Linked DNA regions of Oreochromis niloticus. The protein of the gene in region 1 interacts with the protein of each later gene in a pairwise test. Links are inferred from orthologs where the notes say so. Each region holds a gene or a part of one and is shown in the gene's direction. Other genes may lie near its edges.

Region 1 (7,482 bases):
CTGCATAAACAGGAAACTAAACAGCTGTACCCAATAAAGTGGCCTGTAAGCACATGTTAAGACATCTCATCTCAACATGTTAAATTTTATTTTCCCATTTAAGCTCAGTGGAATAGCTGAACAATTTGGTTCATTTTAACTTTATTTTGCATGGCACGGTTATAGGGTTTCCAAAAATGCTGATTCCTATATCCTTATGCCATCTTGTGAGATTATTTATGTCATGGGTGTGTAATGATGCCAAGAAAGCAATGGGATTAATTAGTATCCTTTCTTTTTTCCTTTTTTTTTTAAAATGCTGCTGCTCACCACGCAGTCTGCATTCTGAGTGAGTCTCTTCAACGTCAGCAGTGAGTTGTATGGCTGAACAACCACATCACTCATCTCATCCTGGTTTGGGAAGACTGAGTAAGTCTGTACCAGCTTCTTTGGGTACCTGTGGGACAGAAATTATATATTATTTGCTCGTACTATACTGCAAGAAAAAGAAATACAAGGGATCAAGTTGAGTATGTGCATGCGGACCTGTCATTGAGCCTCTCCAGGAGATAGGATCCAAGCCCCGAGCCTGTCCCCCCAGCAATCGAGTGACACAGGACAAATCCCTACAAAGACAAAGGATCACTCAATACCTTCAATTTCAAGCTACAGCGTGCGCCACACATGTGCGAACCTTACTGTGAACTCTTCTGAAGCAGAACGTTAAATGTGCCTGTGGGTGTGCAAATGCCTCTTTTCCTCTGCAGTTATATAAATGGGAACGCAGCCCCACCTTACAAATAGGCTCCCTCACCCCCCCAAGACAGCCCAGTAATACCTGCCTTCTTCACTCGCCCGGCTATTATCACCAGACATACTGCACGCCACACCCTGCCAACATACACATGCCCACAGCAGCTCGGCCCACCTTCCTATCCAATGCACACACTAAATAATAATGTGGGGTCATAATGTGAATGAGTTACAGAAATTGCAGACCTTCGAAGGGAAATGTGACTGTTATTTTATGGGAGGCTGGCAGCTGAAGAAAGTTCACCCCAAAAAAAAGGACGCTAAGAATAATAGTGAGGCATGGCTTGGGCTGTGCTGGTTTTAAGATGACAGGCTCTGGCACCATTTTAGCATGCCGTTTCTATCAAGTCATTCATTTCTACATGCATTTTACCACAACAAAAACAAAACACAAGCCTTAAAGACTGAGAGAAATCATGCCTGAGTAAAATCCACCACTCCATAACAGTATTCAGACAACGAATGGGTTTACTCAGTCTAGACTGAGCTTCACCTCCAAAAAGTCACTGAAAAGAGACACAAATCAACCCCAGAGACACCAAAAGTGCCCACATGACCACAAAGAAAGACGAAATGATCGCAAAATGACAACAAAGAGACACTGAGACACCAATTGCTCCACTACAAAGAGACACAAAATGACCACAGAGCGACACAAAATGATGACAGACATTACCAGTTAACCAGATCACAGATCACAAAGAGACAAATGGAGCTGCAGCATGACCACAAAACTACAAACAAACACAAAACAAGCTACAAGGTGTAAGTATATCCATATCAGACAGAAAATCCCTGTAATTTCAACAGGTTCAAAAGTAATCCCCTCACATTAACAACAAATACCTGACACTTTAATGCATGAATAAGGTTTAGGCTACAGTTTCAAGCTAGTCTTAAAAATGTAATATTTCTACACACATCCGTATCAATTTACTCTTAAATCAATTTTTTAAATTCCACACTGCCACAGCCTCAATCGTCCCAGCCCTCTGGGATAGTCGGTATGTGATAAAAGATAAACTTGCCTCTAGACTGTCGCTGCCATCTGCCTCTCGGTCAATAATGTCGAAGATGTCTTCTTGAATTTTTTTTCCCTAGAGGTAGAGAATCCAGAGCAGATTTTAGATGTGTTATTAAAAATTTTATTGAGATTAATGAGGTAAGGGTAAAAAACAAACAAACAAAAAAAAAAACAAAAAGAGAAAAGTAGGTAGGTTATATCAGGTGATCACCTGTGCATAGCCACTAGCCCAATTGTTCCCGGCACCTCCACCATGCTCAGACAGGTAGATGTTTTCTGGGTTGTACAGGTTTGCATATGGGGAGTTAAGGATGGAGTGGATCACGCGGGGCTCCAAGTCGAGGAGAACTGCACGCGGGATGTAATGCTCATCGTCAGCCTTTGGGGTTTTAATCAAAAACAAGCGGTTAGATGAAAACACTGCAGTGTTGAGCTTGTCGTTTCCCTGCAGGAGCTTGGTTCTTACAGTTTACTATACAAGCATGCCACCTAGTCGCAAATAATATGGTTGCACTTCAGCTACATAGAAGCATCATCACATAGAGGACTGGAGACGTTGTACACTCTGCGGTGCAGAAAATGTAGGCCGATTGTAACACATAGCAAGAGAGACTATGTGCCATGAACCAGAATACTTCTGCTCCACTTACCTGATAGAAGAATACATCCTTTCTGTCTGTCCCTTCTGTAGCAAACTCCTCAACAATCCCCTCTGGACTGATGCCATGCTCAGCACACAGCTGCTTCCAGAACTCAAATCCGACTGAGTAACAGGGAGGGGGAACAAGTAAACAAAACATGTTCATTTTGACTACTCAAACTGGTACAACTTTACTCTAAATGCACGGATGCCCGTTACCATAAAATGCATATCATAAAGGCACCTGATGGTAATCACACAATATGCACACAGTAACATTATGTTTATAGACACTATTAGCCAATAGGTAAGCTAGGATACAAGGTCGTTGTTTCTGTTATATTTAAAGTTAGCTCGACTTATTATTAGCAGTTAGCTACTGTCGTTACACAGCAGAATACATGACAATCTGATGACATCTCGCACAGCTAACAATAAAAAAGCTGTAGCGGTTTCAACGCTATCAACGTCTTTGCACGTACTTTGGTTTCCGCACTGTCCGAGCTGAAGCGTTATGATTTCCCGCGGCATGTTCCGTCTTCAGTCGCCCCTTATTTAGCTAGCTCTTGTAGTCTGCCTGCTAGCTAAATAATAGAAGAAAATAGCCACTGCTTTCACACCGCTTCACCTCTGCCCGCTCCTTCCCGCTTGGTCCTGCAGTGACGCTTCAAGCAGACTTCTTCTACTGTAGGTTAGCGAGTCGCAAGGCGACTCTAAACGTGTGCTGCCACCGTTCGTGTCGGAGTGTGTAGTGCTGTAAGGAACCGTAAAATCTGCCTTACATCATCTTTCAACAGCTTTGAATATTTCCCTTATTTTTGAAAATGTATACCAACACACTTCTTCTCCATTCCTCAGTTATTATCCCACTCTCCAAGATTGTGTTAAACAATCTGGTTAAAAAAATTCCACTCTCATAGACATCTCTATACCTCCACACTTATGTAATCTTGGCCAACTGCCTTTCCACTCTTCATCCCCTTCATCCTCTTCATAGGTACTTCCTCCTTACTAATCCTCTGCCCTTCCTGATTCACTAACTGTCCTCCATGTCTCCCCCTCTGTTACTTTCGTTATTCATCAGCTCTTCAAAGTACTCGGCACACTCTTTAGTACAGCTTCCATCTGTAATCACTCTAACCTGCTGCATATCCTTTCATTATTAACATTATGTAATAATAATAATAATAATAATAATAATTATTATTATTATTATTATTATTATTATTATAGATATTATATCATTATAGAATGTGACCAGAAGGGGACAGTGTAGACACGTTTTAAAATGCTCAACTGTAAGCCTACTGTCTATGAGATAAATTACAGTAGCTAAATAAACTTTCGGGTATACAGTTAAATTTAGATTATTTAGACAGGGAAGTAAAGTTCTTTTCATAACAAGCCATTTTCATTAATAGGTCGTAAGTATTGAATTGCACGAGATGATATTTTCAATAGGCTTAAAATCATGATGAATAAAGAGGGAAGAAGTGGGTTGTTGTGGACAGCTTAATCGAAAATGGGTTAGGTTTTTGGTGTGTAAAATTACAGTCGCAATGGCTCTTTAATTTTCAACTTTGCCAACGAAGTGCTTCAAAATAAGCAAAGATGTTCCTATTGCACCTGAATGCCTCATGACGCAGGGCCCAAGTGGATTGTGATTGGGCCGCTGACGGCTCAGAAAAACAGGTAACGCCATATTGTAAGTTCGCCGAGTCGAGCGCCGCATTTCTGCAAAAAAATGACAAAATAGTAAGTGTCACCTGCTTTTGAAACGTTTATCCATTTGCTTTGATAAAATATTTTATTTTAATATAGTCAAATGTGTGTTGTTAGACCATAATAAAGTGGTTTGGCTGGCGTCATTTGCTTTTAGCTTAAAAATCCGTTAGCATAAATGTTAGTGGAGCGGCGCTGTGGCGCCCCTCATGAAGCTGTTTACATGGTTCCACTTAGCTTAAGTCTTTATTTTACAGGCTTACTTTATCAGCAGTAGGACGCTAAGATGACTCACACTGGAACAATGCAAGGGGCAGATGTGGGGGATTGCTCTGCTAATCAGAGCGCTGATATCTGCCTTCGAAGTCGTTCATGCTCTAGCGAAAGAGATGGCCAAGTACGAGCTGTCAAAGCTGCTCTCCAGTCCAGGCTGGGGCCCTATGAGCCTGTCCTGACCTACCTGCAGTCTGTCCTGGTCTGGGAAAAACCCTTTCATTGTGTCCTTCTCTACATTGTGATCAACGTTGTGTTCTGGTAAGTTTTAGCTTATGTTAGTTTGTGAGTTATGTTTCCTCAGTGTCTCTGTGTTACAGTTGCCGACATGCAGACAAAACCAAGAGGCAAGACAGCGTGACTGGAAGCAGATGGTTCTTATGCACAATGCAAATATTTTGCCTGTCAGTTCAATATAAAGCAGCTGGCTGAGTTGCGGTACTATTTTTATGCACACTCTGCAGGGACTTTTCACTCAACTTTTATGCTCTCCAAACTGTTGCTTTTAATCTTGAAATCAGTGTAATGCTGTGGATTATCTCTACCACTTTTACCAGTGAGCCTGTAGAGGTCAAATCTACAGTTAGTGTCATGGGGATAAGGGGGGGAAGTTGTTTCACTATATGAATATGTAAGTATGTTTGAGTGTTTCACTGGGCCAAATTTTGCCTTACTTAGTTGAGCTGGGTATTGCTAGATGTACAGGAAGGATCACTGACCTGACACATGGAAAGAAAGCCTGACTGGTGTGCATGTTTGCAGAGTTCTGGCATTCAGCCTGAATTTGATTAGACCACCAAGCGTTTCAGAACGTTTGCACTGCATCTGCTTTACTTTTGCTTCAGCACGCACGTAATGGTGCAGGCCATTTTCAGCCCAGAGTGATGCAGCCGTAACCCCAAAGTGACTGAAAGTTAGACATTAACAAGGGCAGCCACTCTCACAGTAGGACAGGGTTGTCCTGATTTTCAACATACAGGTGGCGAATGACAAACTTGTGAAACCACCAGCTGCATTTTCAGTGCTGAGCACTTGTTGTTTTCTCATTTTTCGGTGACCCAACTTTCCATAAACATTTCACATTGCTTTTGTTACTGTCACTTCTAATTACAGCATTAACCCAAATACTGATACCCCTTGTTCTGCCAGCAAATTCTTTGTTAGGTTAATCTCTAACCGGTGATTGGCAGATTCCTGCAGTATTGTTGTTCCCATTACATTTTGGAGTCTTGTGATCTGAAAATGGAGCAGCAGTGGGGATTTAGTTAGGGTTGTGTACAAGGCAAAAAGATGGAAAAAACCTGAAACCTTATGTATAGTTAGACCACATTTTTTAATATGTACATCTGTTAGTCTGTTGGATTAATATCAGCTAAATGTTTATTGATATAATTGATATTGCAGTAGTGGGTGGAGTAAAAAAAAAACAGTCAAATACTCTACTTACTGCCAACCTTCTGGTTTACAATAAATTTGTGTAAGACACCAGAAGGTGGGCTTTCTTTCTTACTTTTGACAATAATAAATGGAATTCGCTCAGACCGTCTTGCGGTTTAATTAATTTTGCATTAACTTTTTAACTACATAGCTCTGTGATTGTTTATGCCTGGGAAAGCAAGAAATAGATGCACTGTGTTCATGTGTTTTCTGTGGTTTATCCCCTGCCAGGTTCTTCGCTCTGACCTCACTGCGCCTGATATTCCTGTTGGCATCTGGCATGGCTGTATTCGTCTGTCTAGATACCTGGAGAAATAAGATCTGGCCAGAGATTAGAGGTGCTAAATTTTGTCTCAATGCGGTCTTTGTATATTTAAGAGAATGCAACATGTTCTGCATTTTCCTTTTTTCTACTCCTGGAATGTCATAGATTGTGCAAAATGCAGCCAATTCAATCCCTAATGTACTGTGGCTGTAGCAAATGTACTTTTGTTCCTAGAATAAATATGACATCAGTCAGCAGCCTTGCACTCCGGACTTTGAAAGTGGTCTGTATTAGTCATGAAACAGTTCATCTTTGGCAGTGGTTTTTAAAATCCCGAAGACACTGTAGATGAAAGCCAAGCAAATGTCTAAATAATGTATACATAATGTAACACAGTGATATTTAATGTCTCTTAAAGTGATGAATGTTCTCTCCCTCCACAGTCAGAAAGCTGGATGAATCAGAAAATGAGAGGTTTGTACCCACAGTTGTTTTTTTTAATTATTTTTTTATTCTCATATTGCAGCATTAGTTGAATGATAAGGAGTTGAAGTTTAAATGATTGTGTCCCTTTCTAGCTGGGGTCTGGTGCATCCTGGCACCCTCAGTGTGCCTGAATTGTGCCACCATATTGCTGAGGCCTGGGTCAGTGGAGTGGTTCTCAAATCCAGTATTGTGCAGTACAAGCGTCGAAATCCTGGCACAGTGAGGGTTACACACAATAACACAATGACTTCATTCTGTATCACAACACCTGTTGTATGATTTTTAAGTTATCCCTGTTTGATTTACCTATTATCCTTTTCTAACTTTTTTTTCCTTCACTGGTTTATTAACTCAGTCACACTAGAGGAAAAATAGGCGGTTGACCAATGATTGCACAGAATTTTTCCACATTCGGCAAGCAACTTGTCACCAAGTGGTTGAGCATGCAACCTTCAAACATTCAACCATCAACCTCTGGGAGACCTTTTTTTTTAATCATAAGGCGACCTGTTAGGAGGCAACACCCAGTCACAGTCCAAGTTGGACTTAAGACAGATTGGCAGAGGCTTGAAGAAAATTGATGTCTAATTTGTAAACACAAACAGTTGGAGTCGGCCTGTAACGATGGACACAACTTATATGTGACGATTATCTTTGCAATAGATCGTTCTAGTCAGCTGGTTGTTTTCTTGTTATATTCCTGTATAACATCAGAGTTACTGAGCAGCTATCTTTGTCCAGTTAAATCACAGTTATTGCTGTTTTATCATTGTTTTAAAGTAACTTTAAAGACTGCAACTGACTGTGATTTGTCATTGTCCTGCTCGCCATCTTTAAAGTTAC
Region 2 (7,429 bases), on another chromosome or scaffold:
AAGAGGATTCAGGGCCAGAAAGGAGTTCAGGGAATCATCGTCGCCAATTCAGAGGGTGAGACGACAATGATGTCGTTTTCCCTCCTCTTTTATAGACCTTTCCGCTCTTTGCGTGTTTCTAATTATGACTGCCACTGTGTGTTTTGCAGCTATAAGTCCTCCGGGGTCTGATCCAGAACACATGTTTAATAAACTCCGGGTTTGTTCAAACTGAGGCAAATTTTAGGGTTTATTTTTCCCGATAGTCGGTTACCATGATAACAGACACTGTGACCCTTCCCTAATCGTTTACCATGGTAACAGACCCTGTGAGCCTGTCTAACCTGCTCCCTGCAGGTGTTATCTCTGGCTCCTCCCCTCCTGTTACTCCTGAAACAGCCGACTGACCCTGGAACGCTGAAAACCCGGCTGGATCGATCATAATATTGATAATATCGGTACCAGTGTCAGTGTCAGATCGTGATACTTGATGCTTTACTTTCAGTGTGTTTCCTCAAAAAGTAGACATCCCTTTACAAACACAGTCCTCCTGCTCCTCCTCTTCCTCCTCCTCTCTGCCTCATTGTGTTTTGTTGTTGTGCTGTCACATGACTGGGTGGTGCTGAGCAAACACATGTAGGCTGTAGAGATAAAAAAGGAGCAATCTCACAGCTGTAAGCTAAAACGCCGCACACTGCCATGTGTAGGAAGGCGATTCGTGATCAGTTTATACAAACACATGAAAACAGAAGTGAGGAAAGAAACAAAGCATCCTTAGTGCTACAGCAGCATTCACTCATGTTTACGAATGACTTAAATCTTTTCTCTAATTAAATACAAAAAAAATCTTCCACATATTGATCATTGTTTCACTACCTGATCAATAACAAGTTAAACAACATTTAGTTTATAAAGAAAACATAACTGTCATTCGTGGAAAACAATCCTTCAAGCTGTGATAATTCCATAAAAATCAGGAATGCTTGTTTCATATATAAACTTTCACATGTGCTTTTTTCACTCTGTTAAATGTATTTGTTATTGATGTTTTTGTTTTGGTCTGCTGGGTTTCATTGAGCCCTGTTCCTTTAATGTACCACACTTACATTTTCCTTGGTACATAATAAAGCTGGAATCCCATCAAATTGTGAATTTAAATAATTTAGCTGTAACCTGACAGGACAAAATGCTACTGAAGACAAAACTATTTTCCTTCTTCGTCCCATTTTTAATTACTTTTTTTTTTTTTTTTTGAGTAATTGAAATCTATTTTACTGTCACGCTTCAGTTTCAGCAGCAGAGAACCAGTAAAATAAGGTGTGATGTGGTTACTGGGTGTTTTCCCTTCAGGAATCCCCATCAAGTCGACTCTGGACAACTCGAGCACGGTGCAGTATGCCGGGCTGATCCACCAGCTGGTGATGAAGGCCAGGAGCACCATCCGAGACATCGACCCCCAGAACGACCTCACCTTCATGCGCGTGCGCTCCAAGAAGAACGAGATCATGATCGCTCCAGGTGAGAGCATCTGATGGGAAATATTAAAATGCCCATTATTCGGATTATTTCCTGGCCAAAACGGCTGGATATGAACATTTAAGATGGTTTCGTTCCTGAAGTTGTTTTTTTTTTTTTTTTGCCTTTTTCTTCACAGATAAAGACTTTTTCCTCATCGTCATCCAGAATCCATCAGATTGAAGATGAAGGAGCTGACATCTGGCTGTTCGCTCTCTTTATCACTCTCATTTAAACGGCCCATTTTCTTTTTCTCGTTAAATCAAAAATTGTGTTTAGCAGAAGCTTTTTCACGGGAAGTAATGTTGTAAGGTCAGGATGTGAAGGTGGAGATGTGTGACCCCGAGGACGGTCAGTCAGCCTGCAGGAGGTTTTTTGGGTTGTTTTTTTCCCATGTTTTAGCATTCCAACTCCTCTGTGTGTGTGTGTGTGTGTGTGTGTGCGCGCGCGCGCGTGTGTGTGTGTGTGTGTGTGTGTGTGTGTGTGTGTGCGCGCGCGTGCGCGTACCTCATGTCACTGTTTATTTCATGTGTAGCAAGCAGCCAGACGTGCACGCCGAAACACGAGTGAGCAGTGAAGTCGCAGACATATGACTGGAGCAGAGCACGCTGGTCTGCAGAGGTCCAGTATACGAGGCAGAACAAAGGACGTGCTTTGTTTTATTTGGCCCACCTTAAAGGAAAACTGCAGATTGTTATTTATTGTTTTGATGGTTAAAAATGTTAAGGAGCAGTATTTCACCTGTGAGCAGAGAGCGACACTACAAACACGTCCCTGCTCTCGCGTCAAGTTTCTGTTCATTTGTAACAATTCTGAAATACAAAAATTGAAAACGGTCCCGTGTCTTTGTCTTGTTACTGGTTTTTGTTGTTGTTGTTGTTTTTTGTTTTTTTCTTGTTTAATAAGAGACTCATGCATCTATCAGCGGCTAAGAGTGCTTAACTTGAGTGTTCTGGTAAAAAGGAGGAAGCAGATAAAACTACTTGAACTATCATCCAGTTGCTTGGTTACACATTCAGGAGATAAAAAGAGGTCAGCATGTCACCTCAAGGAAAAACATCCAAAAACAACCCAGCAGAAAAGCAGCTGCTGAATGATGCTTGATGTTAGGGTTACGACGTAGGAGGGACACTAATTTTGACTCATTATTGAAAATAACAGGACATGACTGCATGTGTAGAGTCAGTAATTACATCTGGTTTAAAAATGCTTTGATGCACCTCAAAACGAGAGTTTAAAAAAGCTTTTTTTCAACGTCTGGAAGTTAAAAGTCTGCTGCTGTAGTTCTGCCAAAGATTTGATTTCAGGACTCTGAGGGCCATGTTTCAGTCATAGTGTCTCTGACAGATCACTGCAGAGAAGAACTGCAGAGTCAGCTGGTAGGTTTCAGCTGATGCGTCTGCTAAAAGCAATCATTTTCACATTTCATGGTCGTTTCATTCTTTTGTGCATCGCTTAAAAATCATCTTCAGCTGCAAGATTCGTTTCTTACACACTGCTGGGAGTTCTGTACACAGTACAAAGTAAAATATTTGCGTCTAAAATATAACAGAAGAAAAGTCAAAAGCAACATAATACAAATATTTTTACTTCAACCGTGACCTCAGTTCCAGAAAATCTGGGAAACTGTAAAATGCAATCATTTGCAGATCTAATAAACCCATTTTTCTGTACAATAGAACATAGAAAACATGTCAGATGGTTTAATTGAGAAAATGTTCTGAGGCTTGTTCCTTACACAAAAAGATTTCTCCAGATTCTCAGAATCATTCGGGGATATCATTTATTGTAGATCAGGAGATATTCAGTGTTTAAATTAGAAACAACATTCTGAAAATGTTCCACAGTTTTTATTTGTATTCCCAAACATATTACTTATCTGTTGCCAGTGAATCACAGACATGCTAAATGTTCCTCCAGCTGTGTTTTTAGCACTGCTCACTTTTCCAGCCTTTCATTGCCCATCTCCCATGGGCGAATAAAATATGAGTTTATGAGATCTGCAAATGATTGCATTCGTTATTTCAAATTTACATTTTATTCAATTTAATTTTTTTTAAATTGGGGTTTTACATTAAAACTTTAGTAAAGTACTCGTATTACATTCCACTACAGCTCATATCTCGTTAATTCTCCCAATAACACTCAGTTTTGCCTTCCTGTCTTTATAAACAGTCAACAAAGGCAGAAAGTACAAACAAAGTAAAAACATCCAAAAATAACAGCAAATGAACACAAAATATTCATAATCAAAACATGGAAGATGATACACAAAATGATCATAGAAGGAGAAAAATGGATAAAATCAACACAGCTGATGAAAAGTACAGAGAAAATGTCTATGAACACAAACAAAACCATCAGAGTTCACTGGGACACCCCATCCCCCACCTTGTACCAGTTCATTTAAAACAAACCTAGGAACGCCCCTGCTGAAGCAAAACACAGCCTGACATTACAGCTGATTCACGAACCTTTCATCATTTCCTCTCAGTACAAAATGAAGACGCTGCTGTGTCTGTTAAACTCTGAATCACCGTGTGAATCACGGGCTTGGGTGTATAACTGGTTAAACTTTGCACTTCTGTTAACGTGAATGTAAAGCTGCTCTCTGGGTTCAGGGATCGATGCACGGCCCCTTTAAATGCAGCGGGTGACGTCAGAGGCTCGGTTTACTGTCTTTGTTTGTCCGGAGCTGTTTTGGCTTCAGACGAACCAGAGACTCGAACCGAAGAGACGGACCTGCGCTGCTTGCTGTAACGATTGCGTTATTCATTAGTGTATAACAGATTAATAACCGGGACCGAGATGCCGTCCGACAGACCCTTCAAACAAAGGAGGACATTTGGTAAGAAAGCCCCGGGGAAGGTGTTATTTACCTGGCTTAAGTGCCTGCAAACAGCCGCTGAGCTGCTAGCCCGTTAGCCGCCTAGCTCAGCTCTTTGTATTTAGAGTGCAGACAAACGGTGTCGGTGCTGGGTTACTGTAACTGCTACAAGTGTCCGGGAGCCAGGGTAGGTAGGCTAACAGAGTATTTCTTTTAGTGGCGAATCAAAGGTGAAAATCCCGTTTTTACTGTGTGAGGCAGCATCCTCCGGGCCGAGAGGTGTTAAAGGGCCATCTGGGTCACTGTCCGGCTAGCTCGCAGCCAGCTAGGCCTCCGTTTACACGGCCGGATCATCTCACTGATCTGTGTTTGCTGAAAGGAAAAACAACATGTGCTGACACATTATCCCAATACACGTGTTCAGCGATTTATGTTGAAATATGAGGTCGAGAGACAGCCCCCCAGAGCCGGGCAGGGAGGAGCCCGGAGTCGGGCTCGTTGCATAATCTTTCCATTTACAGAGAAGCAGCAGAGATGCAAGAAACGCTGCATTCACCGCCTTCTGCTCTGTGCTTATAACCTGCTTTCAGCCGCTCTTGTAGACCTGTGCGTGCTGTTTGTTTAGCAGCTGTTTGCATTGTGTCACACTGACACACATTACAGACGAGTTACACAACAGGGGACATGTTTACCACACTTGGAGTTACTATAATACGCTTTCCAGTTCACTTTTATTCATATAGCACCAGTTCATGTTAGGGTAAACACCCCCAGAACCCCAACAATCAGATGATCTCCTGTGAACTGCACTTGACGACGGTGGGGAGAATGAACACCCATTTAATGGGAAGATGCCATTGTCAGGGACAAGCAGCCATCTGCCTCCACCTTTTGAAGGAGGGCAAAACAAACCACAGAAGAGAAAACAGCCAGTCGTCTGTTTATTGCAGCAGATACAACAATGTTTTCAAAAGACTCACACAGCAAATATTTAAACGCTTCATTAAAAAGTCGCTCTCGGACGACTAAGATTTCAGTGTAAACATTAGTGAAGACGGGCGTAGCGACTGCACCATCATAAATCCTGTTATGAAGCCCTGAGCTGAGCGTGTGCCCCGTCGCCATCTTGTTTGGATTGAGCCTATCAACAGGAAAGAGTTTACTGAGGGGCCGTTTTCCCATGAACCTCTTCAAATCTCCAACCAGATTAGTCGCCCTCTGCTAGCCATAAAAAAAAGGATGGATCATTGTTTCAGCATCTTCTTCCTGAAATTTGATGGTAGACGAAGAAAGAAGAAGACGTGATTAATAAAGACAGACTTCAGCCTTGGTTGTATTCAGTTGCCGACACAGACGGCTGGAAGCACAACGGCTGAGTAATCATTCCTGTTGTGCCGCTGCCTGGGGTGCATGGTAGTTGGTGCATTGTAATGCAAATTCTCTGTGGACAAGTCTTCACGATCACAAAAAAAATCAACAATCACCGTCTGATAGCAAAATTTCTTTCACTTGTGTCCTCGTGGATGTGAAAAGTATAATCAAGGCTGTGACGAGCAGACAGATGGTTCAGGGTCACCTGCTCCAGCCCTAACCTCATAAAGCTTATCAGAAAGGAAAATGTGAAGCCTGATCTTAGAAGTGGGAGGTGTGACTCTCTCCAGGAGCCCAGTGAGGACGAATATTTCTGAATATTTAGATTCAAACTGAAGACAGGTGTTCTTGCAGAACCTGGAGCAGGACTGTAGCTGGCTCCCAATAAACACCTCCACACTGAAACAAAGGAGCCATTCACACTCAGCTGCTGCTGCTCTGAGCCACCTGAGCTTTGAACCCGACCAGTATTTGAAAAAGGAAAAGCAGTTTTTCTGAAATAGGCCAGTAGGAGGTTCAGAGAGGGCAGCATGCTGTAAAATTAGATAGTGAGGCAGTAAAAAGAAAAAAGAAAAAAACATTGCAAAGCTTAAATGGGTACTGAAAGGAAGCCTGCGGAGGATTAAAGGAGACGTTTAACATAATAATGATATGCAAAGCTGTGAAGAGATGCAAACTTCAGAGCTCTGCCTCGAAAAGAGAAAAGACTTAGTGTGGAAGAAGAGGGGGAAATACACAAAGAGACTGATGTTAATTAGCCACGTCGTTAAACAGATCCTCTCTGACTACACCTAGTTTACTATCATGTCATTTTTTTTCATCACTTTTAAGAAGCTTTAACCAATCTTTAGCTGAAAAGTGACTAAAATGATCATTCAGTCAGTTGACTGTGTAGTTCACTGACTAATTGTTGCAGCTGTGTGGGTGAATGGATCTCTGCACTGCACTAAACAGCTCCGTGATCTCTGTATGCAATCACACATCACACCAGAAATGAAACGTTACAATAGCCACAGCTGCCCTGGGGCGCACTGACAGAGGCGAGGCTGCCGGACACTGGCGCCACCGGGCCCTCTGACCACCACCAGTAGGCAACGGGTGAAGCGTCTTGCCCAAGGACACAACGACCAAGACTGTCGGAGCTGGGGCTCGAACCGGCAACCTTCCGATTACAAGACGAACGGCCACGATCGCCCTTCATAAAAGCTCATACTGAGCGGTAACCAGCTGCCCCACTGGTGAAGTCACCATCATGGCCACAGCATCCTTGGTGAGCTCAGCGCAGCAGCACATTAAGCAGGTTCTGGTTAAACTGACCCTACAGAGGTGACGGATGGCTCCTGTCACCAGCGGGTGGAGCTGGAGTCTGTCTGATTACAGGACTCGAGACATCATCCACCTGTCCAGCCTCACTGTAGGGAAGCAGACATGAAGTCAGAGTTAGCTGGTTGTCATTGGCTGGACTTTCAAAATAAGAACGAGGATGGTTCCTCTTTCGACCGAACAAGAAATGAACTTTCTGTTTTTGTGACCATTTGTGTCTTTTGTCCACAGCTGACCGGTGCAAAGAGGTCCAGCAGATCCGTGAGCAGCACCCCAACAAGATCCCCGTAAGCTGCTTCACACCTAATCACACCACACTTCACTGAGCTTTGTTAGTGGGAATAAAGATGATTCCACTGGGATGAACCGGAGGTTACCAGAGTGCAGGAAGCAGAGGTTGGAGTGTCTGAAAGC
Region 3 (7,678 bases), on another chromosome or scaffold:
CAAGTCTCAGAAGCAGCCACAGGAAAAAATCCGCTGGAGATTGTTGTTGTTAAAGGGGGTTCAGCAAGTTAATAAATTCAAGAGTGTAACAACTTTCAGCCTGCACTCTGGCTGGTAACTCTGTGTTTGTTATTATTTTTAATCAGATTTGTCTATAATTGTGACTTAGATAAAGATAAGACCACATTTTATGAGTAATCGCCTCATAAATTCTGGTAATTCACACTATTTCTTGCAGCTGTATATAGAATAAATATGACAAGCGCTGCATTTTTCCAGCATGTCACAGGGAATTTAGACTGAGCAGAGTGAAAATTCAAATAATGTGAGTGTTGGATGACCTACATTTTTTTTTCTGTTGAAAAGTGGCAGACTGCACAAACACAGCAATAGTGCAAGATAGCACAAAAAAATCAAATCATGGTTAATAATGGATAATGTGACAATAAGTAGTGACAGTTTAAGGTTTCTGAACTGTTTTTTTTTTCTGGAAGACATCTCGGGTAGCATCATTTTTGTGCTTTGAGCGGGAAGTAAGTGAAGCAAGTTTTTAGTGCAGCAAACAACCCATATTTATATTTATAATTTTAGGATATTAACTGAAATGTAAGCCAAGCAGAGTGCATGGTGTAGGAGGTAAAATAACAATGCACTGTCAAAATTCTTTCACCGGTGGCACAGTTCAAAGAATGCAGAATTGAACCAATTATTGTGCTGAGGAGCACACAACATACTTCAAATGTCAGGGATTTTCTGCAGTCATTTTCTATCTTCAGTTTGTCCATCGTTTGCAAAGCATTCAAGCAGTTCTTCAGTCAGCCTCCTATCAGGCACTCCTCCCTACAATTGCAATAATATAAATCACTCCCTACCTTATTTGAGATTAAATAGACGAGGTAAAGAAGAAGTGGCAATGGGGGAAAGAAATAGTATAGATATAGAGGAAGGTGAAAGAAAGAAAGAAAGAAAGAAAGAAAGAAAGAAAGAAAGAAAGAAAGAAAGAAAGAAAGAAAAGAGGACAAGTGGTCATGAGAAACTGGGGGCATTTACGCCTCACTTCACTGTGCTCAATTACCATAATTCATGCGTTAAAGCTGGCATGGAGAACAGAGCAGGTCAGTCTTGGGGTCAGCTCTCACTACAATATTCCATTAGCAACCTCTACACTCACTCACCAATCAATTACACCTCACACAGCACATAATGATTGATTATTTTGAAGCTGGCTAAAAGCTGAGACACGGGGGCTAAGGTGAAGCCCAAGAGCCAATCCCCTTTCAAACTAAATTTGCGAAAAGTTGGTGAAAGTGAACTTTACTTTTCACCTGTTTTCTGTCCTTTGGAGAACCTTAAATGAAGGAGTTAATCATAAATTCTGCTAATTATGTAATTACATAATCAGTCTTTGCAGCGATTGAGAGTGAATGAGGCTTCTCTTGTGTAACCCAAAGACGTTTGTTAGATCTTACTGTTTTGTGCTCTGTCTACAGTTGAGTAGACAGACAACGGTGCGCTTGTTCAGGTGCACTAATTTACGCAATCTCTGTGGAAACAGGCGCCACCCTGCTGCTTCCCATGTTTCCCGGTGGCTGTGTTTTGCAAGACTGATGTCACCGTCATTATGCAAACAATCCTGACAAGTTTGATCGCACGCATGTGCTCTTCCCACAAAATTTGACTTGTACAACAGTGAGCTAATGTTGTGCTTATGTAATGTTTGTGATAATCATGCCTACGCTTTTAAACCACCTGTTTTTCAATACTGCATCGGCCAGGATTGGCTGAAAGACTGCAATCCCCCATTGTTTGTCAGTTTGCCTAGAAGCATTTTGTCGCAGGGATCAGATGTCAAGGGAGTGCAAAGAAAAGCATCTCCAGACTTTACCTACATCATATTTAGAAAATGAGAAATGGAATAATTAGGATTTCGTTTTTGCATACACAGCTTTGTGTGGAAGTGGCATTTTGCTGAGTTTTTGTTGTTTGTTGTAATGATCAGAGAGTATCTGGTCTCCTTGATACTGCTGCTTTCCGTCTTCTCATCCACGCTTCAAATTGACAGCCTTTACTGTCCAGACGGAGGGTCTGTCAGATCGATGTCTTCGAAGCTGCTCTACAGACTATTCATTCTGTCTCGAGTCTCGATTTCCTCGCCTTATTTCACTGCACCCTTTGTCTATGACTGACAGCAGTATGATGCAAATGCATGTAACGTGTTCAGGAAATTGGAAGTGCAAAATGTCCTAAAATATAGCTCCAAGTGTTAAGAAAAAAAGGTTTCCCCCCCTGCTCGACTAGAACAAACTGGAGAGCAAACAGCAATAAGTTCCTGGACAGCCTTAATGTCATTCAACCGCACACCATCACCGCTCTCTGAGTTTTATATTAGCACCGTTCTTGGAAAAAATCATGCTTCTCTCTCTCTTTTCTCTTTCTCTCACTTTTTCCTTTTGTAGAGAGTGTCGATGACACCACCTCCTCCCTGCACCCTTCTCTCGCTGCTTTATTACTCCTGGTGCCCCTGGTTGCCGCAGCTGTCGGTGTGTTGCTATGGAGACAGAGACACATTTCTGATCGCGGTGAGTCTTCCGGCGTTTTCTTTTTTGACAGCTTTCCGTGTTCCGTCCATCTTCGGCCCCTGTTGGCTTCCACTGAGTGATCTGGGCCGTGACATCCTCTGGGGTTGTTGTAATGAATCTGCCCCCCACCCCACTCCTCCATCCCTGTGCAGCCGAGTGTGTTTTTTTTTTGTGTGTGTACACTAGTAACTGTCTTTTTGTACTCAGGTATCGAGCAGTCTCTGTCTGTCCGCTCGGGTGAAGCAGAGAACATCTATGAGAATCCTGAAGATATTAGACAGGTGATGAATTCAACTAAATACCTCCTGATGATTTTTGCCCTCATCTTCCTCTCTTCTCCATCGCCCCTCTGGTATTTGCTTCCCTCCCCCTCCCCTCCCCCTTTACCGTCTTCTCTCTATAGTGCACTTTTATGTTTTTCTTCCCTCGTCTGCTTCTGTTTTCCTCCGACTTCAAGTGTCCCTCCCTCTCTGTCACTTGATGTTCATTAAACCAGTTTTTTCCCCTCCCAACAGGCCCCTCCCCAGGGTCCAGTCTACATGGTGAGTTATTATGCGCTCACACACATGCAGGCACTGTGCTTGCATGTGTCTGTGCAAGTAACTGTGACACACACATTCACTAGTGCATACAAAGTCTCATTCTCTCTATTGCACCCTCCCTAAGCTGTCAGCAGATACGTCTTCCTTCTCACTTCCAGTCTTCTCCTCTAATCTATCAGCCTTCTCTCAGATAAACCCATTGCCTATCAACTGTCACCCTTACATTAGTGGTATTAACAAATCAATCTCATTACACACCAGAGGGACATAAATCTGGCCTGAGTACATCTCTTTATCCTTCTCCTCTCTGTCCCACTCCTTCTCACGCTCTCTCTCTCTCTCTCTCTCTTTTTCCCGTTTCCCCTTTCTTCTTTATGTCAGGATTTGAAGCCAAGAGGAGAGGATGATGTCTATAAGGAACTGGAGCGGTAAGCAAACACAGTTGCATCACCTGTGTGTGCTTTTGTATGTTGTGTGTTTGCACTGTCACTCATGTGCCCCTCACATTCTTCTCACACTCACCAATCACCCCAGCCTGAAAATCACTCTGACACTGTGGCATAATATCACGCCACGCGCTGACAGGCAGCACTCCTTCACCCATGTGCTGTTGTTGCGTGGGCTGTCTGTGTTTGTGTTTAAGGAAGAATAAAAGAGACTGGGGCACTGGAGATTTTTGTGTGTGTGTGTGTGTTTGTGAGTGTGTCTTTGCATTCTGTTTTCAGATACGAACAGTGTCAAAGCTGATCACCTACCCACATCTCCCCCGTATCCAGCTGTCACATCCGCTCAGCTCCCAGCTGCTGCAGAAGGCCTTTTTAAACACAAGTAACGGCTAAATGTCAGAGTTTGGATTTAAAGAAAAACTTCAGTGCTTTAGGGACATGCTACACAATTGTTTAAATGGTTTACTGTATTCTAAGCTATTGTCAAGTAGTAAAGTTAAAACATTCTTTACTTGAAATGCTTCAAAACCTGTCACGCATGTATAGCAGTTGATACAGTATCCTACTACTGTATGTCAAATGATCTTTTCATGAATTTCCTTGCTGTCAGTCATATTTGCTGTTATCCAATATTATAATCTTCTGCAAATAATATGTGTACCAATAATTTTATTTTAAGTAATATGTATACTAAACTTTTAAATAAAGACTTTGGCTGTAATTCTTGCCTTTATTTCTAAACAAGAAATTCTTGAGAGCGCTTCGCGTTTGAGATTTTGGTGGGTACGGGCTTCCGTAGTTCTCGTAGTGGAAGAATGGCCGTCTGGATGTGGCTTCGCTGTGTTTTAGGGCCTCATCTTCAACGAATTCATCGTTCCCCGGACCAATCTCGACCTGACGGGAGATCGGGAAGAAGGGTACGGATGTGTACAGTATTTTGCATGATTTTTGAAGTTGCTGAGTCCGAAAGATTGAGCAATAATTAATCCTTTCGCTTCCATTTAGCTGCAGCTGCGGCCCGGAAGTGTCAGGTGTTTGTTATTGAAACCCTGCATCGCAATGACATTTTAGAAATGAATGAAAAGACAAGGACGCAACGACACGCTTTCCTTGGTCTCGCTGTGTTTTGTTTCGTCGTCTAAGGAGCGGTCATTTAAATTCAATCTATCTTTAATGATGTCAAACTGCTAACGCTAGCCAGGAGCCGAGAAGAACCCAGGAGGAACGAAACAGAAAACAAATAAATTGAATAAAAATATTAAACTCAAACAGGGACAATTTAAAGGCATAAAAACTGTAAAAATGAATTTGGGAAGACAGAATTGTAAAATCCATTCTGTCTTCAAATTATAATGCTAACAGCTAAGCTAACGTTTGCTAACTTATATGAATAACGATAGATCGAATAAGATAAGAGTGACCCGAAGGAAATTACACCACAACCACAAAAGAATGAATTAAAAGTTACCCTAGAAATTAAATGAGAGCGGGAGATCTAAAGAATTCGACGCTCAGCATCAAATACATACACTTCTACATAGACTAACACACTTTATTAGGTACACCTTGCTAGTATCGGGTTGGGCCCTGTTTTGCTTCAGTTCTTCGTGGTACAGATTCCACAAGGTGCTGGAAACATTCCTCAAGGATTTTGGTTCATACTTTTATGACAGGATCACGCAGTTGCTGCAGGTTTGTCAGCCTTACATACATGATGTGAATCTCCCATTTCACCATATCTCAAAGGTTTTGTTGAGCTCTGGTAACAGTGGTAGGTCGTTTGAGTTCGGTGAGCTCATTGCCATATTTAAGAAACCGATCTGAGTTCTGTGATATGGTGACTGCTGGAAGCAGCTATCGGAAGAAGGGTACACAGTGGCCATAAAGGGATTGACATGGACAGCATTAATATTGGGGTAGGCTGTGGTTTTTAAATAAGGCTTAGTTAGTCGCCCAAAGTATACCAAGAAAATATCCCGCACACTCGAGCCTGTGCAATTTGTAACCTCCTTTCCTATTCTTAGCTGATAAGAGTGGCACCTGGTGTGGTCTAAAGCAGCTGTAGGCCATGTGTGTCAAGATTCAAGATGTGAAAAAGATTCAAATTCAGCAGATGGTCTTCACTTTGTTTACATTCCTAAATAGTTTTATCTGCAGTTGCACCTAATAAAGTGGCCATTTTACTATATGCGGTGATGATTAAAAGGAAGAGGGAAAAGATCAATAAGAACAGATGTGCAAAAACAAAGCAGTGAATAATATATCCAGTATATGTATGAATATATAAAGATGTTGACGTTCATGGGTGCAACTGTGTGTTCACCTGTCACACAAGTGTGCAGTTTTATAGAGCTAATTCTTCCTGTCAGCAGAGGTGAATGAGTGTGTTGGAAATGTGAACGCAGATAGATACTAATGCCATTATCAATTTTGCCTTTAAGTCAGACTAAAGCAGTTGATTAGCTTTTTCATTCCAGATCAATTTTATCTTTGAGTCTGAATATGATCTGTAAATGGAGTAAAACGAGAGATTTGCAGATTGAGCTGTGCAGAAGGTCCACAGTGACATATATTTGATGTCACTGTTTTCCAACTGTCAGAAAAACATGTTGCCATTGATACGAATCCTGTGGGCTAGACAATTTGGAACCAGCACTCGGTTTCCATACTTTGTTGTATAATGTGCTTCATTGTCTGTGTGTAATGAATCATAGACAGAATAGGATGTTTTGTCTTTTATGGTGGGATCTGTCCATTGACCACCTTCATCTCACTGTCTGAAATGTGTCCAGCTTTTTCCCAATGATTGTTTCAGTCTTGTGAATGACTTTATTGATCCTGTTGGCATTTCTTGGATCAGCGCTGCTTCACCAGTAGACCACAGACTGCTTGAAGATCTCTGGTTGCATACATTGACTGAGCTGAGCTTCCACAGATGATGCTGGTGTATATTTCTGCCTACATAAGTAATTCCAGCATTTAGCCTCTGCACTCAAACTTTAAAAAGCAATCAGCAGCTTTGCAAAGGGCTATAATAAGAAAGGTAGATAAATAACAAAGATGCTGATGCAGATTCTGTTTGTTGTGAAGAAGATTATTAAAGTAAGTGCTCAGCAGGTATTTGTGTGTAATGTTAACATTCAAATTTGACCATTGTCTTCTCAGTCTTGTTTACATTTAGTAGCACTTGATTCCTGCTACACCATGCCATAAAGTTATCCACCAGTTCCCCAACCACCACCACCACCACCACCACAAAGTCATCAGAAAGCTTCTGCAGGCGGCATGATTCAGAGCTGTAATAGAAATTTTAGGTGTGCAGAGTGAACACGCATAACTCAGAACTTTTCTCTTTCTATTAATAACTTGATTTTACGTAACATGAGGGAAACTATTGATGCATGATATGATAAGTATTTCCTTCTCTTTTGCCAGGGATGGAACTACCAACCTAGGGGTTTGGAAAGACACACTGACAGCATTCTTGGCTGGGTCAGTATTACATTGTAATGAACTGTATAGAAAGAAGTAGGTGGATTTAAACAGAAGTAGATTAAATGAATGATTAGTGATCTGTTTATGATTCTTCCTCCAGGCTTCAGCACTATGGTCTCTGTCCTACTACAGCTCTCCTCTTCTTCTTTGCTATCTTTACAGGAAAGGTAGGCTGATTCATGAATTGTGTGACTATAACTGAAATTATTAGAAATGTTAGTCAGTGTGTGTTGATCATCTGGTTAACTGGAATTTAGTCAGCAACGATTTTTATAAGTGATTAATGGAGGAAGTGTCCACTGGGAAGGTTATTTTTGTAAATTTGAAATTATTTCAGGCATTTGAAGCCACTGCCTCGAGCTGTGGGAACGTTTCATAGACATTTTCACTATTTTTGATGTTTAAAAGACCTGAGTTAATCTATACATTTGAGTAAATAATTGCTAAATTAACTGATAATAAAAGTAATTGTTATTTGTGCCAGATATGTTGATGCGCCAACAAGTTGCAGTTAAAAATGAGTCTCACAACGCCAGATGATAATTTAGTGAATATATTATAATACATTGATTGTTGTAATAATAATAATAATAATAACAATAATGTTGTTATGCTG
Region 4 (7,681 bases), on another chromosome or scaffold:
CTACCAGAAGGTAATGTAATCTGTGAGCATGAGCTGCAATTGTTCATGTTGAAAGTGTAGGCTCACAAGTATTCTATTAATTTCTGTATTTTCACTTCTACTACCAATGCTGAATATCTGGACCCAGGAAGCTTTAGTTTCTGTTTAAACAGATGATAATAGAATATAAGGTCAAGTCCAGGATACACCCTAGTTTGTCAGCCATCATGGATGGGCAGATAGTAAACAGCCATGAACTGCAAGAGATAAAGCAACAACTCTTCATACCAGTGCATTTGACTAAACAACTATGAGTTTTATTTTTGTTTATTTTGAGAAAATTGGAAGATAATCAGATCCTGAGGTCACAGAAACAGTTAGTGAGGGATTGAGGAGGATGTCTGGCAGACAGTTTGTGGTGATGTGGAGCTGAGAGAAGGTTTAGGCTATGCTTGCATAATTTCTTTTTCTAAGTGCTATTGAGCCCTGGGAAACACATTTGGTGAGAGGGGTTAGAAGAGAGGAGAAACTCTTAAACTGTTATTATTGTATTTCATATCGAGTCATACAAACTTCTCATCTGATTGTAGTCATGTTGGTGTCACAAATCTAGAAAGGTTCATATCTGCTCATGAGCTTGTGCCTCTGGAGAGGTGCACAAGCTCAACCCCAGTGACACTAGCTGGATAAGTGGTGAAGAATGTAAAGTTTCCCTTTTTGACCAAATCTCCACATTGTTCAGATGCCTTTGAAAGTCCTATTTTTAATACCTTTCCAGATTTTTTTATGCCCCTTTTAAAAAAAATCTTGAAGTTGTACCAAGAAAATGTCATTTCTGCAAGAGAAATCAAACACATTGTTTGAAATTGCACGCTGAAGACAAATTTCAGTGGCCATTTCTTTTTCTATTGTAAGAGCTCACACACATGGATGTATTTACAGAGCAGGCTCAGGGTTTTCTCCGCAGCTCGTGACCACATGGCAGACTGATGTGAAAAGCCAGCGGTCTTATGTTAATATTAGTCTGACTAAAACAACCTCCGCGGCAGGAGGTCCACCTCAGCTCCCCAGGCTTCTGTCCTCAAAGCCAGCTCCTCGCTGCCTCCTCCTCACCTTGGCCTCTCATTACAGGCCCATATACCCTCACTTCTCCATCACTGCAAACATTAGAAGAGGAGATTGCATGAACAAATATGCATAGTTACCCCTGGAAACGCAGGCATGCATGTGTTTCATCATTCGTCTAATTAGAACAAGTGAAGATAGAAATGGAGATAGGAAGGGAAATAAAAGTGAACCTGAGCTGAAGCTGTTTTGTTTTCCAGCGGGGGACATCTCCCGCAGTGTGTACCAAGACCAGCCGTGTTCATGTTATGACACCTGGGGACAGCCTGACCCCTGCATGATCTCTCTGTCCAGCTTAACCTCTTATACAAGCCTGCCAGCTAATCCAGAAATGGGTCAGTATTTACTGAATTATGATCACTTATCTCTCATATGAGGTCAGCTTTGATGTGTCTTCCTCTCTCTCTCATACGTCCTCTTGTTTAGGACCTTTGTGTCAGTGCAGCTGAATAAGGAGCCTTGAGAAGAAAGAATATCACCGCTTTAGTGCCACAAACAGGATGACTGCAGAACTTGTTTAACTGTAATTATATTTATTACTGTCACTGAGATAGAAATCTGGATCATAATCGAAAACATGTGGAAATAAAACCAAGATAACAAGCCTCACCTTTCATGTTTTATTCACATTATTTGAAGCAAAGAACATGCTCGCCCCACGAAGGCCTAATAGAGCTTCATCAGTCCAACATATTATTCCCCATCCCTGTCGCCCCTGTGGCCACTTTCTCCTCTGTCAGTGGTATAGGGTTAGCATCATTAGGGGCCTCATGATGGAGAGCAGAGACTGCTTTCTCTCCTTTGTGTACATCTCCCTGGCCTCCCCTCTAGGATGAGGGATTAAAGTAGAAGATAGGAGCTGCTAGAAGGAGCAGTGGGGTCAAAAAAAAGAAACACTGCTGAGAAAGAAATCTGCTCAGCAGTAGACATCAATCTGCATGAAACATGTAGAGAATATTAACAGGATGACGAATGTGTTTTGGTTTTGGTTTTACTATGCATATCTAGACACGTGCACAAATCCCTCATGCACCACAAACAATGTATGAAGCACCATAGCAACATCTGTGTGCAGATAATTCAGCATGTGACCGAAATAAACCAAAGCTATCAAATCAGCTTCACCTTTAAACTCAGAAACCACAATTCTGTTTATAAAGCCCCAAATCACAACAACAATCACCTCAAGGTGCTTTATATTGTAAGGTAAAGACCCTACAATAATACAAAGAAAACCCCAATAATCAAGCACTTGGTGACAGTGGGAAGGAATTACTTCACTACTGTACTGGGATAACAAAGTGGAATCATTCATCACAATGCCATCTGTCTAATAACAGTTGTGAGTTGCTGTAGGTCCGATCGAGGGTTGCCTTGTTTGTTTGTGTTTGTGCTGATGTTTTTTTCAGCCATTAAGCTGTCTTATTTCTTTCTCTTTTTTTGATGCAACCCCATCTGACTTGTCTTACTGACTGTATCTTGCTAGAATCAAATAAGAGAGCATGGGGTAAAGTATGAGAAAAGGGAAGGGGTTCTACATTATTCTGTGTTACATTATGTAAGGTAAGAGAAGTCAAAAAAAAAGTACAAACTTATTAAGTGTGTGTACTCTGAAATGTCTCAGTTAGAGTAAAATCTTTTCAAACTAAGTTTTTTTTTAAAAAAAAAAAAGAAGCAGTAAGTGGGGTTTTTCAGCTTGCATCAGTAGAGGGCAGCACTACTGTGAGTAGTTTGTCTTGTAAAATGACTCTGTACCAAGGATGCATTAATGGAGCTAGTAATGCATCCACACCCACTTCTTAGCCTGACAGCACAGCTCCAGAAACACTTCAAGCTAAAACTCGTTAAGGCAAATCACTCAGAAGAGATCCTACAGCAATAACACTTGATGGGATTATGAGACAGTGGAAAAAATGCAAAGGCAGACAACCCAAAGAAGACTCTTATTGTAATGTTCTGATCGCTTTGTTATGATACAACAGCAGCCAGTGTCTTAATCAAGTCAGTTACTATAGTGACTGTAACCCAGTGTCACTGATTCCAGATGTGTCTCAAGAGGTTTTACAGTCTGTACATATTCTTAAACCTGTCTGGATCAGGAAATAGGAAGAACAAACCTAAGCAAGGCTTATAAACATAATAGCTGAAAAGCTAATAAATCTATCTAACATTCTTGACTTGTACTGGTTGAGCTTTATTAATGAATTTGTCAGTATTACCTGAAAAATTCATCTTGGTTCAAGTCATATATTGTTTTTTTAATACCTTTTATTTTCTTTGCAATTACCAAATGTATCAAGAAGCCCTAGTTAAACATTCCTGGCAGTGTGGCTGACAACTCTAAAGCAAAAATGCAGGAAGTGTCATGCAGACAGACACGTGCAAGTAATTCCTCTAAAATACATTTTAGCTGAACAGCTGCTCAAAGGTGATGTCTGCTGAGCTTTTCATGTCTGTTTTAATGGCCGCCAATGTCACCGCCTGCTATCATACTGGCAAATGTCAGGGTTAAAGGTTAATATGCTGCTTGGCATCAGTTAAACATTAACCATGTTCACCACAGATTCAATGCACTTGGAAAACAATGATGTTTTGTTACCTCCCCAAATCCCAGACAATCTGAAGTAAGAGCCTTCTGCTGGTGTTATTAGCTGCACCTGAGAGTGTTACATGTAACCTTTATGTAACTGTTCATAAACTGTAACAAGTAGCATAGACACACTTCCACTGAACTCATTAATACAGGCCATTTAGTGGTAACTGCTACCTTACTACTCCTGAGGACAATACGATGATGTCACTTCAGCTATAACTAATAATCTATATAAATGTATAGCTAACACTCTGTTATTTCTGTTATCCGCTACACAATATCAGAACTTTATTTATTTATCTAGCTAGCATCACTGAATTTTAAGTAGTGATGCAGGTTTCAGCAATTTACTTTTTTTTAAGTTTCAGTCTAATTTTGCCCTTGTCCTTTACACCTTAAAATATATTGAAACCATCTTATAGTCAAGTTTAAACCGTTCATGTATATATTCTGTGTATTGTGTATTTTAAACTTTGTGATAAATCTGTCTTAGTAAATGAAGCCGTCAGCTCTCACACGACAAATCCTGCCAAATGCTTTTAAACAAGTGTTGCTTATCTTCTTTAATCATGTGTTCAATTTAAATATTAAGCTGACTTGCAATATTAAGAGCTTGTGCATGCGTGTGTATGTGTGAATTCCTCAGAATCTGTTCGCAGTCCCTTTTACACTTAAACTTACTTTTACAATTAAATTCTAGGTAAGAATTTATTATGTTTGAAGTTATGATAAATCTCCAAGAAATAAGTGTAGTTAACTGAAATAATCTTTGAACTGATGTGAACGTGTGTGTGTGTGTGTGTGTGTGTGTGTGTGTGTCTGTGCGTGCATAATTTATTGTGGTGTAAAGCTTTTTAGGGATATGCTCAGGTCCAAAGTACAAAAGCACAAGTTAGTATGAGAATTCTTATAACACCAGCTACTTCCTTCTTTATATATTTACCAACGTTTCCTCATTCTGAGGGAGAGGACAGTGCTGAGGCTGAAGGTGGGGGAAAGAAAGGCTTATCTTTGTACATTTATGACCTCGTGATCAAAGCTCTCATATTCTGGACGCATAGTCTTAATTCATACCTGCTTTCAGAGCCTCATAAGGAAACAAAATCAGAACAAAGCTTTTCCAGGACTCAGCAGTTCGCCCTTGACTAGTGACTGCACTGCAAGACATAGGCTGAGCCAAAGCTGAGCCAAACCAGGGCAGAAGAAGACGTTGACTTGAGAGACTACTGGACAATGTCAAGGCCCCCCAGAGTTGTCCACAAGAGGAGGGAGACGATCACAGCCTTGCCTCTCTACTACTCCGGACACCTGCTGAAGAAACACAGCAAAGACACGGTAAGAACGAATGTGGGGAATAAACACGAAGAAATGTAAATAATTAAGAGTAAAACCAAACAAAAGCTGCAAAAGTCTATCAAAAGTAAGGACTCATAATGGAGAATTAGCAGTGTCTGGATGTTACTAAATCACTTATACTGACTGACATTATTTTAATGCTGTAGTTCAGAGAGTTGGGTCTTACTGCACTGTAATGTTGGTTACTGAGTACAAGCTACATATTTGATCATTAATCTGCTAGATTACATAAATTTGTGTAGCATACTTACTCTTGGACTACTTTAAAAAGTGGAGACAGAGCAAATTTTGTGTTACACTACGTCAAAAAACATAAAAATCTTTTATGTCTGTATTCTTCATGCAGTCGGGACTTTCAGCAAACACAGTGCTGTGGTACACATGAATTATGTAAGACACGTTTTTATGAGTTTGTTTTATTGGTTATCGAAAAGGTTTTATAACTTTAAAATATTTTAATGGCATGAAAAATGTAGAGAAGCAACTTTTGATATTATTATTCAAATGTAATCTGGGCTGACTGCAGTTGTTTCAATCTGACGTAAACTGTTACTGCCTTATTGTGGAGAGGGGACTAAATGTAACCACCTTTTATCACCAGTGGGTGGGTAGCTCGGCTCTGACGGTGCATCATATTTTATAATGGTAATCCAACAATAAATATACAAGACATAGAGGTTTGTTTGTAAATACCTCATCTGTAAATTATCTTACAGCCTTTAGATAAGTGTAAATACAATCATGTGACAAAGAGCATTTCTCGAAAAGCTACAACCTTAATGTTTCCACAGGAGTTAAGAGGGTAAGAGGCAGCCATGGGCTGTTAATCAAATGTACTTGATGAACTGATCATCAGCAAGAGTTTTAGCAATTTGCTAGTCTGGACCATTCTGGTGTGTTTTAAGACAATCTACCCGGGAGTCGACGTCTCATCGAGATCAGAAAAATTTCAACAACAACCAAGAGCTACATTTCAGACTCTACAGGCCTCAGTTAACGTGCTAAATGTTAAAGTTTACACCAGAGCAGTTAGAAAAAGACTGAACAAGTAGGGCATTTTTGGAAGGGTTGCCAGCAGAAAGCCTCTGTTCTCACTAAAGCAAACATGGCAGCACAGCTTTGATCTGCAAGGTTGCATCTGAACAAACCATGAGACTTCTGAAACATCGTCCTTTGGACAGATGAGACCAAAGTAGAAATGTTTGGAGATAATGTACAGCAACACGTTTGGAAAAAACAAACACAACATATCAGCACAAACACCTCATACCGACTGCAAACACGGCGGTGCAGGTAGATGCAAAGTTCACAGGACCTGTGAACTTTGCAGATACTGAGTTGACTATGAATCTCTCTGTATACTAAATATTAAAAGAGACAAATGTGAGGCCATCTGTCTGACAGCTAAAACGTGGCAAAAGTGGGTCATGCAACTATACAATGGAGAGCACCAAATCTACTAAAGAATGGCTGAAAAAAGAAAAGAATCAAGGTGCTGCAGTAGCTCAGTCAAAGTCCAGATAGCAACTAGATACCGAATCACGAAGTGTGCATAGTTTTCCACATGACTGCGTAGCTGAAAAACTGAAACAGGTCAAGTGTAAGCAGTTTAAGTGTGCATCTAAATGCCTGACATGTTCATCAAATGACTTTCAGGATTTCAAGAAATACTATGGAGAGCTCCGTGGGTGTTCGCTGTTTCTGTACAAAGATGACACACAGGATACAGTAAGCAAACACCTATGTTTATTCACATTGTGCACTTGACTAATTACCTGAATCATCTTTTGAAAATATGTGGAGTGTTTAATTCCAAGAATTAGGAAGTAGCTTTGAGGGGCAATAAGGAAGTGCTGCGAGCACTGACCTGATTTTTTTCTCAGTATACAGAGAAGTTGGACCTGGACCAGCTGAAGTCGATGGAGTCAGACTCTCCATATCAGAAGAAGGAACCCACTGTGTTCACCCTCAGCCTCAGCACAGAGAAGGTGCAACTTAAGGTCTGTTGTGATAAAACTCACTTCAAATGATCCAATTACATCTTATCTTATAATTAATCACTGGATGGATCAATACTATACATCGCTCTAGCCAAAGTGAAATTAAACTGACTGACCTGTTTTCATCTTTTTATCAACTGTGTGTGTGTGTGTGTGTGTGTGTGTGTGTGTGTGTGTGTGTGTGTGTGTAGATGGACAGTGCAGACACGGGAGAGGTGTGGAGGGGTTTCATCCTGACTGTGGTCAAGGTGAGCAAACACACACCGATCTAATTGATTCAGCACAATTATTTCCATTTATACAGGATATTACACACACACAGTGATGTAGACAGTGGTATTTAAATAATGTTCACTTGGTATAAATAAAGTCTGACGTCCTTCGCATCATTACCGCACAGCAGAAATCGAGACCCAGGCAACATTTTTCTGTTCAGTGATGATGACCCTCAGTTTCTAGTTTGTAGCTGAACGCCTGGTGTTGTCTTTTGTGATTGGATGTGTTGTGCATTCAAAGATGCTCTTCTGCCTTAGTTGTAATGAGCCATCAGCTATGTGGAAAAATCCCAAAAGATCAGCAGTTTCTGAAATACTCAGACCTGCCCATTCAGCACCAACAGCCAAGTCCA

What was found.
Region 2: the proteins of retreg3 (region 1) and map1lc3a interact in binary tests that used the Homo sapiens proteins (3 or more experiments, as listed by UniProt). The link is inferred for Oreochromis niloticus from reciprocal best matches to the Homo sapiens genes RETREG3 and MAP1LC3A.
Region 3: the proteins of retreg3 (region 1) and abhd16a interact in binary tests that used the Homo sapiens proteins (3 or more experiments, as listed by UniProt). The link is inferred for Oreochromis niloticus from reciprocal best matches to the Homo sapiens genes RETREG3 and ABHD16A.
Region 4: the proteins of retreg3 (region 1) and signal-transducing adaptor protein 1 interact in binary tests that used the Homo sapiens proteins (3 or more experiments, as listed by UniProt). The two-hybrid records come from large-scale screens. The link is inferred for Oreochromis niloticus from reciprocal best matches to the Homo sapiens genes RETREG3 and STAP1.

The regions. Positions count from the first base shown.
Region 1 is NC_031969.2:26,013,464-26,020,945, reverse strand, and holds the start of retreg3 (reticulophagy regulator 3), read left to right. Parts: upstream 1-4,080; 5' UTR 4,081-4,211; intron 4,212-4,421; exon of another isoform or gene 4,422-4,435; 5' UTR 4,436-4,464; coding exon 4,465-4,712; intron 4,713-6,119; coding exon 6,120-6,226; intron 6,227-6,596; coding exon 6,597-6,627; intron 6,628-6,731; coding exon 6,732-6,858; intron 6,859-7,482. Other genes in the region: tubg1 (tubulin gamma-1 chain), read right to left, coding at 310-436, 526-605, 1,821-1,889, 2,028-2,195, 2,467-2,579, 2,939-2,987. UniProt on the Homo sapiens protein: Endoplasmic reticulum (ER)-anchored autophagy regulator which exists in an inactive state under basal conditions but is activated following cellular stress.
Region 2 is NC_031970.2:3,293,103-3,300,531, reverse strand, and holds the start of map1lc3a (microtubule-associated protein 1 light chain 3 alpha), read left to right. Parts: upstream 1-4,162; 5' UTR 4,163-4,302; coding exon 4,303-4,342; intron 4,343-4,408; exon of another isoform or gene 4,409-5,587; intron 5,588-7,246; coding exon 7,247-7,302; intron 7,303-7,429. Other genes in the region: dynlrb1 (dynein light chain roadblock-type 1), read left to right, coding at 1-55, 1,330-1,497, 1,634-1,677. UniProt on the Homo sapiens protein: Ubiquitin-like modifier involved in formation of autophagosomal vacuoles (autophagosomes). While LC3s are involved in elongation of the phagophore membrane, the GABARAP/GATE-16 subfamily is essential for a later stage in autophagosome maturation.
Region 3 is NC_031976.2:23,875,808-23,883,485, reverse strand, and holds the start of abhd16a (phosphatidylserine lipase ABHD16A), read left to right. Parts: upstream 1-4,335; 5' UTR 4,336-4,382; coding exon 4,383-4,484; intron 4,485-7,002; coding exon 7,003-7,059; intron 7,060-7,162; coding exon 7,163-7,229; intron 7,230-7,678. Other genes in the region: g6fl (g6f-like), read left to right, coding at 2,457-2,579, 2,787-2,860, 3,095-3,121, 3,503-3,549, 3,847-3,868. UniProt on the Homo sapiens protein: Phosphatidylserine (PS) lipase that mediates the hydrolysis of phosphatidylserine to generate lysophosphatidylserine (LPS). LPS constitutes a class of signaling lipids that regulates immunological and neurological processes.
Region 4 is NC_031966.2:22,359,552-22,367,232, forward strand, and holds the start of signal-transducing adaptor protein 1, read left to right. Parts: upstream 1-4,602; 5' UTR 4,603-4,930; coding exon 4,931-5,032; intron 5,033-6,709; coding exon 6,710-6,781; intron 6,782-6,936; coding exon 6,937-7,053; intron 7,054-7,244; coding exon 7,245-7,301; intron 7,302-7,681. Other genes in the region: paired box protein Pax-5, read left to right, coding at 1-10, 1,305-1,439, 1,531-1,553. UniProt on the Homo sapiens protein: In BCR signaling, appears to function as a docking protein acting downstream of TEC and participates in a positive feedback loop by increasing the activity of TEC.